Nothobranchius furzeri: one gene and its partner. The protein of the gene in region 1 binds, or shares a complex with, the protein of each later gene. Links are inferred from orthologs where the notes say so. Each region holds a gene or a part of one and is shown in the gene's direction. Other genes may lie near its edges.

Region 1 (4,084 bases):
TGCACACAGTCTGGGCCAAAACCAGTTCATCAGAGACCACCGACAGATGGGACTGGAGAGCAGAGACACTGATGGGACTATACCTGCTTGAACCTGAGGGACCAAGGCAATCAGCATGGATGACTGGTTTGAGACTGGAAGCCTTCCCACACCAGGGTGACCAGTATAAGGAGTAGGGATGGATTCCAGATGTGGTACTTTTTAAGGCACCGACTGAATTATGTGGTACCCACCAGGGATCAATTCTCCTACGACTGGCTTTTTCATATAAGAGGAAACCGTCTTCCCTTGCTGCAGAGTTTTTATGTTTACAGCCGGACCTTGAGTTTTTTGAAGAAAATGTGAATTCAATTCAACTCAAAGCTTTGTTTATAAAGTGCCTTCCGCGACCTTGTCAGGGAGCCCAAGGTGCTGTACACAGTACATAAGAAACATAAATCACAATGAATAAATAGAAAATAAAAGCAATTAAAATAGTGCAAAGGGGGTAAAACATTGAAGTAGAAACAAATAGATAAAACAAGGGAACTCATCTCTATACCAACCATTCTGTCCTGTTTTGCACCATACCAGTTTCCGTTTTTTATTCATTTATTTATTTTAATAAAAGAAGCAGACAAACGCCAAATGTGAGCTTGTCATAAATCTTGTTGCATTTTATCCCACTGTTAGACTGACTTCTTTTCTCTGCTGGGTTTATCTTATCACCTAATTATTAGACTATCTTATGTCCTTGCTTTAATGGGTTAAGGCTGTTTACAAGTTTGAGCACATCTGTCATCATCTGTTTAAATGTGTGTCATCTAATCACAATTTAAATCAACGCTGATTAGGATTTAGACCTATTTTTCACCAGTTTTCATTATTCTAGAAGAAAAACATACCTGCTGCACACAGCTGGGCAAAATAGGGCCATTTACATATATTTCATACGTAGGTAAGGCACACATAGGTTTATCCTATTTACCAGGGCTGCCGACTTCTTTAAAAGTCTCAGAGTGAGATTTTCTTTATTTTAACATATCTCTCTCTCTCTCTCTCTCTCTCTCTCTGTGTGTGTGTGTGTGTGTGTGTGTGTGTGTGTAGGGACGTGGACTATTAGGGTTTGTTACGCAAAGTGATATTAAGGCAGATTTAATTTTTCAGAGGCAAATTAGATGCTGTAATCACACTTAAGTGTGTAAAAAAACACAATGTTGATTAATTATGAGCAAAACATGTCAAAGAAATGGATACGATTCAAGCTGAATATGTTGAAGACCTCTGGCTCCCCCTGGTGGTAGTTGTCTGTATTTGCAGCGCTCCCTGATACGTCATCAAAAGCGGACGCGACTACTGAACAAAGCTACCGCAAAAATGGTGAGCTAACCTCGTTCAATATTCAAAATGTATTTAGCATGACACCAAACACATGACAGTTAAATAAGTCGTTACCTTAGTCTTTGTGTAACTGTTAGTGTTTCCATTCTCTCTTTGTTCATAAACTGTCGTGCTCGACGTGTAGCGTGCAGCTACACGCTAACGTTAGCATGTCGTTGTGCTCCGCAGCTTTTCTACTCGTTTTTCAAGTCTCTGGTTGGGAAGGACGTAGTGGTGGAGCTCAAGAACGATCTGAGGTTAGTGTTTTACGGCTTGGCCTCCACTGCTGTGATAAATCGTTGAAGCTGTTGTTCATTTGCAGGAAAGAACGCTAGCAATTCGACCCACTGTAGCACCACGTTGGAAACAAGTGGTCTCTAAACGCGAAGCTTTGAATGAACTTCTGCTAAAGCTTGAGCTATTTCTTTGTATATTCCAATGGACTTGTAGCTTATTAGTACTGCGACGTTTCTACACGAGTCTGACTCGGAAATTAAGGCAACCGAGCTAAACGAGCCATGTAGCCTATTCAAAAGTGTCCAAATGTTTGTTTTCTTGAATATTTATCCACACATCTGTTTTCAGCATCTGCGGAACGCTTCATTCTGTTGACCAGGTATTGAAAATACACTTTTTGAAACTCTTTCAGACAAACTTCTGCAGTTTTTTGACATTTACATTCCTACTCTTTTTGGTTTTTAGTACCTGAACATAAAGTTGACAGACATCAGTGTGACGGATCCAGAGAAATATCCACACATGGTAAGTAGCATACTTGAGACACATCGGTCCTAAGGTCACGTTGCTTCAGATGTCTGTAGAAATCTGAGGCTAATCTCACTACGAGTGTTTTCCACATTCACAGCAGGGTTAACAAACACAAACTCAGCCCTCTAATTGGTAAAAAGGTGTGATTATTCACTTAAACCAAAGATGCGACAGATTTTTGTTTTGTTTTCAGGTCGAGTACTAAAGCCTTACCTCTAGTCCTCAGAAAATAAAAATACAACTTAATAGGGCTGGATGAAAACTTATTTGTCAGTGTCCTTTTGCAGAATTCCAATTTTACAATATTATACCTCCATATTTTTTCTTCTGTAAATATTTGCAAGTTAACTCCCTTCAAGCTGTCTACAGAAAGTGTAATCATAAATTCATCAGCAGATTAAATGCACAATTTAATCAGATTCTTGTCAAACATCAACCTAAGTGCCATTCTCTATCAGTTTGAGCTGTAGAAACACTTGTACAGCTGTATGCTAACACACATGTAGGTTTAGATATTTATGCCGCTGGTTTGACCCGTCTCTCAGCACCAGCAGGATAAATAAATCTCCGTCAGCAGCCACGGTGAAAAGTAGCGATGTAAGACAATATCGATATGGCAATATATCGTGATGTTTTTTCCTGCAATATTATATTGATATCCAAAAGCCATGTGTTGAACTTTTTGGAATAGTTTACATGCAAACATTTGTGTATTTTCTTTTCTTTTGGTGCAATTCAAACACTGACCGCTAGCTAGCAGCAGTGTGCATTGGGTTTTGTTTCCACCACTGAAATATAAATCCCTCTATTATGGTTCAGATACCTCATGTTTAACATGTTAAGTATCAGTTTGGACTGTTTATTGAAATTTTCTACAATAAATTCAGTCTAAAAAATCGCTGATATCGTCTGGCTGAATGTATCGCAATATATCGTGATATATCGTATCGTCTTCCCTGTATCGTGATACGTATCGTATCGCCACAATTTCACCAATACACATCCGTAGTGAAAAGGCTCACTAAAACACGAACAAATGTCCCCAAATAATTAAAAACCACTAATCCAAATGCAAAGTTTAGGGCAGAAAATTGACCTAGAGGTTTCCTGATCGAGCAGACACGTGAGAATACATGTAATGATCGCATAGAGACAGAACAAGCTAGTGGATAGCAATAGCTGCACCTGCTAATGCTAGAAATTCACTGTTTTTATATTTATATTGATGTAAAGATATTGAGTCATCAGGTTTCTTGTTTGAAATTATATCCACATTTAAAAAATCTCAGCCCTACAACTGAAAGTAAATGGGTTTTTAACTAGAAATTTATTTCAACCATACTTACTCACAACTTGGCTTGCTCATGGGTATCTCCTTAAAAATGTATCAAATCTTGACAAACTAGTTTTATTTTTACCTGAAGTCATAAAAACTCAAGGAAAAGTGATTTTTAAATAGTCTAGATTAACTCACAAACCTGTGGATTTGTAGCCCACAAACGGTTGTGTTTTATTAACACTCTCTGCAGCAAAGATGCTTTTAGTTAATACGTTTACTCGGACGTTCCGAGGACTCACCTTTACCACAAGGGTTAGACTGAATGAGCTTTCCACCGAACGTGAAAGCGTCATGAAATGGACGCTAAACTTACCTCGCTGAAATTAGCCACCGTTATAGCGAATAGGTTCCTTTCTACCGGCGGCTAGTGTGTAAGTGGCAAAAGTGTACGCCATCGTTACGCTATTTGTTTATGTGCTACCCTTCCAAAACCATCAAACCGGCCGGACAGGAAGCCGAACACAGAGGCGGTGTCAAACATCCCAAAACGTTCTAAGTAAGTCACGTTCAGATAGACGTACATCATTTCCTTTGAAACCCCCGTAGCCAATGTAAACGGAACAGAACAGACCTTGTGGATACCTGCAGCTGTCTTTCTCCTTGCCTGTTATTGTGTGG
Region 2 (4,174 bases), on another chromosome or scaffold:
GTAAATAAACAGATTAAATGTGTGTGTATATGAGAAGAAATCATGGATTTAATCTATCTGGAAACACACAACTTCTTTATAGCTCATGAATTATGTGTACCGGGAAAACAAAAAGGAGCAGACCAGAGTCTTGGCGAAATAAACACGGAAAAGGGTAAATCCTAACAGATGTTTCGGCAATTCGGGTAAATAACATAATTCATTTTATAACACCAGTTGTACTGTTACCTGCTTTGTCCCATACGAGTATTAGAACAGCTGTCTTTCCTCCGTGTTGGTCTACTTTTGTGTGGCTTTTTCGGATAGTGAAGCACACACGACTCCTCCTACAGACGGTACACAAGGTTCTGTGCCACATTCATTGTACCTCGTAAATTACGACTTTTTGCCATCTAGTCATGGATTTGTTTTGAAAAATAAATAAAAAATACACGAGCACGCGCGCGCACACAAATCTTTATATTAACCTGTTAACATTTTTTGACATTTTGAAAACGAACCATGAAAAGAAATATGAAATAATTAATCAAAAGAACAAGTCGGAGATGTTATTTTGAAAATCTATTTAAAATATTACTCTGATGGCATACCCTGCCCTGCAAAAATAAATAGTTTTCAAGTCTATGAAGTAAAGATAAGTAATTTATACATTTATAGATCTAGATTCAAATACTGAACTTGAAGTTTTGCCATACATCATACAAAACATGTTTGAAGCATTTATATTAGTAAATCTCTATTATAATGAGTTGGAGAAAATTATAATTTTCTGAGCATAATTTAGCCACTAGGAACTATACATTACTCATCTTTCAGTGTATAATAAGATATTTCAAGTGTTTTTATGTTGGAAAATACTGGGTTTTTTTACTTGTCCAACACATCCAAAATTGACCTATTTCTATTTCTTGCGAATTTCCCAAGTCGTGTTTTCAATATTTGACTATTTTTATTTAGTGAAAAAATATGCAGCACAAGGTGGCGCTCTGGTAAAATCATTCTAGAGTGTTCATTCGTGTTCTCCTGGGTTCTCCTGTGCTCTCTTCTTCTAAAGAGGACAGTGGAGTCAAGACGTACATTGCATTTTATTTTGCTCAACTTAATTCTGTTTTTACTATTCACTGAGACTGTATTTTAATATTTAGTTATTTATTTCCAGCTGACCTTTAAATAAAATTTGAAACATTTTAAATTTGCATTTTTGAACTGCTAAACATCAGGAAAAGGTTGGATTTAAGTTATGTGAAATCCTAGTAATAACATAGCTATGGGAAACAAAAGATTTACACCAACATTAGCCAGGGTCTAAAGAAGAAATATATACAATGCATGTCTAGGTTTTTGTCCCTAGTTGCAATTCGTACCTTGTCTCTCGCGAGCCACCATAAGTTTCTTCTGCGCATGCTCTCTATTTTCAAATGGCTAGTATGTAATTTTTTTTGCCGATTTGTAATTTGAAATCTGTGCAAAAGCGGTCAAAACATATCGATGTCTGTTCAAGCGACAAACCCAAACAACCCCATCGTGTTCTTTGACATTACCATCGGAGGGCAGGTCAGTGGAACCCAAAAGTTCTTTTTATTTTACCGAAAACGTGCTGTCAACGTCACCGCGCTCAGTTACTCATCTCAACGCAAAGTCGCCTTTTGATTAAGTTTATGGGAGAGTAAGCAGAATTTTAGGTATTATGTTTAGTTTATTTGTTTCTTATAATAGTAAATCAGTGCTACGTTTAACGTTTTGTTTAAGTAGTGGATATTTATGTGCTTTGAAAGGCGCAGAGAAAACGTTTAACTTGAATAAAAACGAGATTGAGGTTCTTTTTATCTTCCATTTCAACATTCGACAATCAACACCAAGAAGATTTTATAGGTTTGAGAAAGTGGCTCTGCGTGTGCAAGTGCCACCAGTAAGAACTTGGTTGGCTCACCTGCTTTTTAAAGCATGCACCAGGACATTAACAAAACAGCAGATCTGTGTCGATGCTGAACATGTTCATTCAACATAGCAGACACTGCATGCAAATGGATACTTCTCATATACTTACAAAGTACCCCTGACCACTGATTATAAAGCAAAGTTTGAAATAATCGTATTAATAATTTCAAACTAATGTGAGTTATTTTCAATAATGAAAAATCACAAAACCGTTAAAAATGTGTGCAAAATTTTGCAGAATTTCAGGGCAAAGACATGTTTTCACTATTTTTTCTCTGTTAAACGTAGCATTAGGGCGGCGATGCAGTAGGTTGTCCTGTTGACTTTCAGAAAGAAGGCTGCTGGTTTGAATTCCAGCTGTGGCCTTTATGTGTAGAGCATGTTCTCGCTATTTCTGCGTCGGCTTTTCCTGGGCACTCCTGTTTCCTTTGATGGACCAAAACCATGCATGTTCGGTTCATTGGGGGCTCTAGTGGGCCATTCCCATTTGTACCAGGTCGGCCCGGGCCGGGTAGCCCCGGTCGGCCCCAGCCTGGCCCGGTTGATTCCACACATCCTTGCCTTAAGCCCATGTGGGCTGATTCTACCCACCAATCAGAGGCTTGCTCTAATGGAAGGTGTGAATTTGCTGTCAGCAGTGGGTGTGTTGGCCCTGGTCGGCCTGAAGCAAACCCCCTCGAGAAGAGGGCTGAGAATGAGCCTTGGTTGGCCCGGAAAAATACCAGGCCACCCAGATATGTAAACAACCTACCCTACCCGGCCCGGGCCGACCCGGTACAGATGGGAATGGCCCATAACTTGCTTCTGTGTGAGACTGGTTGTGTATTTCTGCATGGAGTGAGAACCCCTGCCTTTCGCTCGGTGACTGCTGGAGATGGACACCAGCTCCCCTGTAAACATACAGGGAAAAAATGGTTCTGAATATGATTGGGTTTGAAATGTAGCTTTAACTCTGTTGAAGTCGTGTTGCAGGATATGATTATGGAATCGGTAAAGTTTTTTATTACAATGACTTCATGTGGACATTTCCCCTCTCTTTGCTTCACTGCAGCTGAAGTCATCAAATGCTCTTCAGTACAAACCTAATCAGGAAACGGCATCTGATTTAGTTTAATTTGAAGAGGATGTTTCACTTCTAAAGCTACAACATGTAGCTGCTTGTCACTGGGAAACTTACACAAATGGCTGTAACTGATCTGAACCCAGAGCAGAAAGCCATAATTAGAAACAATTTGTTATATGTTCTGTAGCAGCCTTACCTTCAGCCTCGTTCAGACCAGGTGACTCCACCCTACTTGGCCAAACAAAATTTAACTTGCAGCAGAATCTCAAACATATGTAGATGTTTCACCTTCAATCTGTTAGAACACTTCTCATTATTCATTGTTAATCATAGTGGATTTCTGCTATAAGGATTTGTCCAGAAGGACTGAAGGTAGGGCTGGGCAATGAAACGATGGCAATAAATATTTCAAAACAACTTTTCCTCGATGGACATGTGAGAGTGGGAAGATAGAACTTCGGTATGAAGAGTAGAGACCCACAGCTCAGTAGCAGCCAGGCGGATGTGCTGCTAACCGCTCATGTTTGTGTATCTGTAGCCTCCTGCTTCAGGTAAAAGTAGAAAAATGAGAGCCCCAAATGGAAAAAAAGAGATGGACACTGTTAATTACGTCGTTGACAATAAAGGACCGAACAGTTCATTCGTGTGGACGTAGTTTGAATAATTCTTTTGCTGCGAAACTAATGACGTTGAGTGGATGATCTAAACAAAGTCTGTGAAACCACAGGAGCTCATGAGCCAGTGCGACCCGCTGGAACAGCAGGATGTAAAACTTGATAATAAGAACCCAAGTCTCCTCCCCTTCCAGTCAGCTCATGGGTCCCTGGAGCAAAGAAAAAATAACCCGCTTTGCCTTACGCCCTGAATCACAATTATGTCATGTAATTTCAGCTTTGTTTGCTTGTAAAAATTCGTAAATAAAATGACTACAAATCAGAAGTCGCATATATGACGTCCCGACAAAATCTTTTCTCCCCAGCGTAGCTGCTACTTATCAGATAGCCAGATTTATGGTGGTTTTCACGTTTCGTTTAATGCTCCTTCTTTGGTCCTGGAAGAAGGATTCTTTGCTAAACTGATCTCCCCCTCTTCTCTGTCTGGGTCAATTATATCAATTTAGTGGGACGAACGTTTGTAGTCCTATATGTATTTTTCCACACAAAACCTGAAACA

Evidence for each region. The genes of interacting proteins can lie anywhere in the genome.
Region 2: smx5 (region 1) and ppih share a complex: the UniProt entries of both Homo sapiens proteins name them as parts of the U4/U6-U5 tri-snRNP complex. The link is inferred for Nothobranchius furzeri from reciprocal best matches to the Homo sapiens genes LSM2 and PPIH.

The regions. Positions count from the first base shown.
Region 1 is NC_091756.1:60,995,493-60,999,576, forward strand, and holds the start of smx5 (smx5), read left to right. Parts: upstream 1-1,279; 5' UTR 1,280-1,356; coding exon 1,357-1,359; intron 1,360-1,548; coding exon 1,549-1,616; intron 1,617-1,944; coding exon 1,945-1,975; intron 1,976-2,061; coding exon 2,062-2,121; intron 2,122-4,084. UniProt on the Homo sapiens protein: Plays a role in pre-mRNA splicing as component of the U4/U6-U5 tri-snRNP complex that is involved in spliceosome assembly, and as component of the precatalytic spliceosome (spliceosome B complex).
Region 2 is NC_091755.1:32,545,056-32,549,229, reverse strand, and holds the start of ppih (peptidyl-prolyl cis-trans isomerase H), read left to right. Parts: upstream 1-1,371; 5' UTR 1,372-1,488; coding exon 1,489-1,554; intron 1,555-4,174. Other genes in the region: zgc:154075 (putative oxidoreductase YteT), read right to left, coding at 229-242. UniProt on the Homo sapiens protein: PPIase that catalyzes the cis-trans isomerization of proline imidic peptide bonds in oligopeptides and may therefore assist protein folding. Participates in pre-mRNA splicing.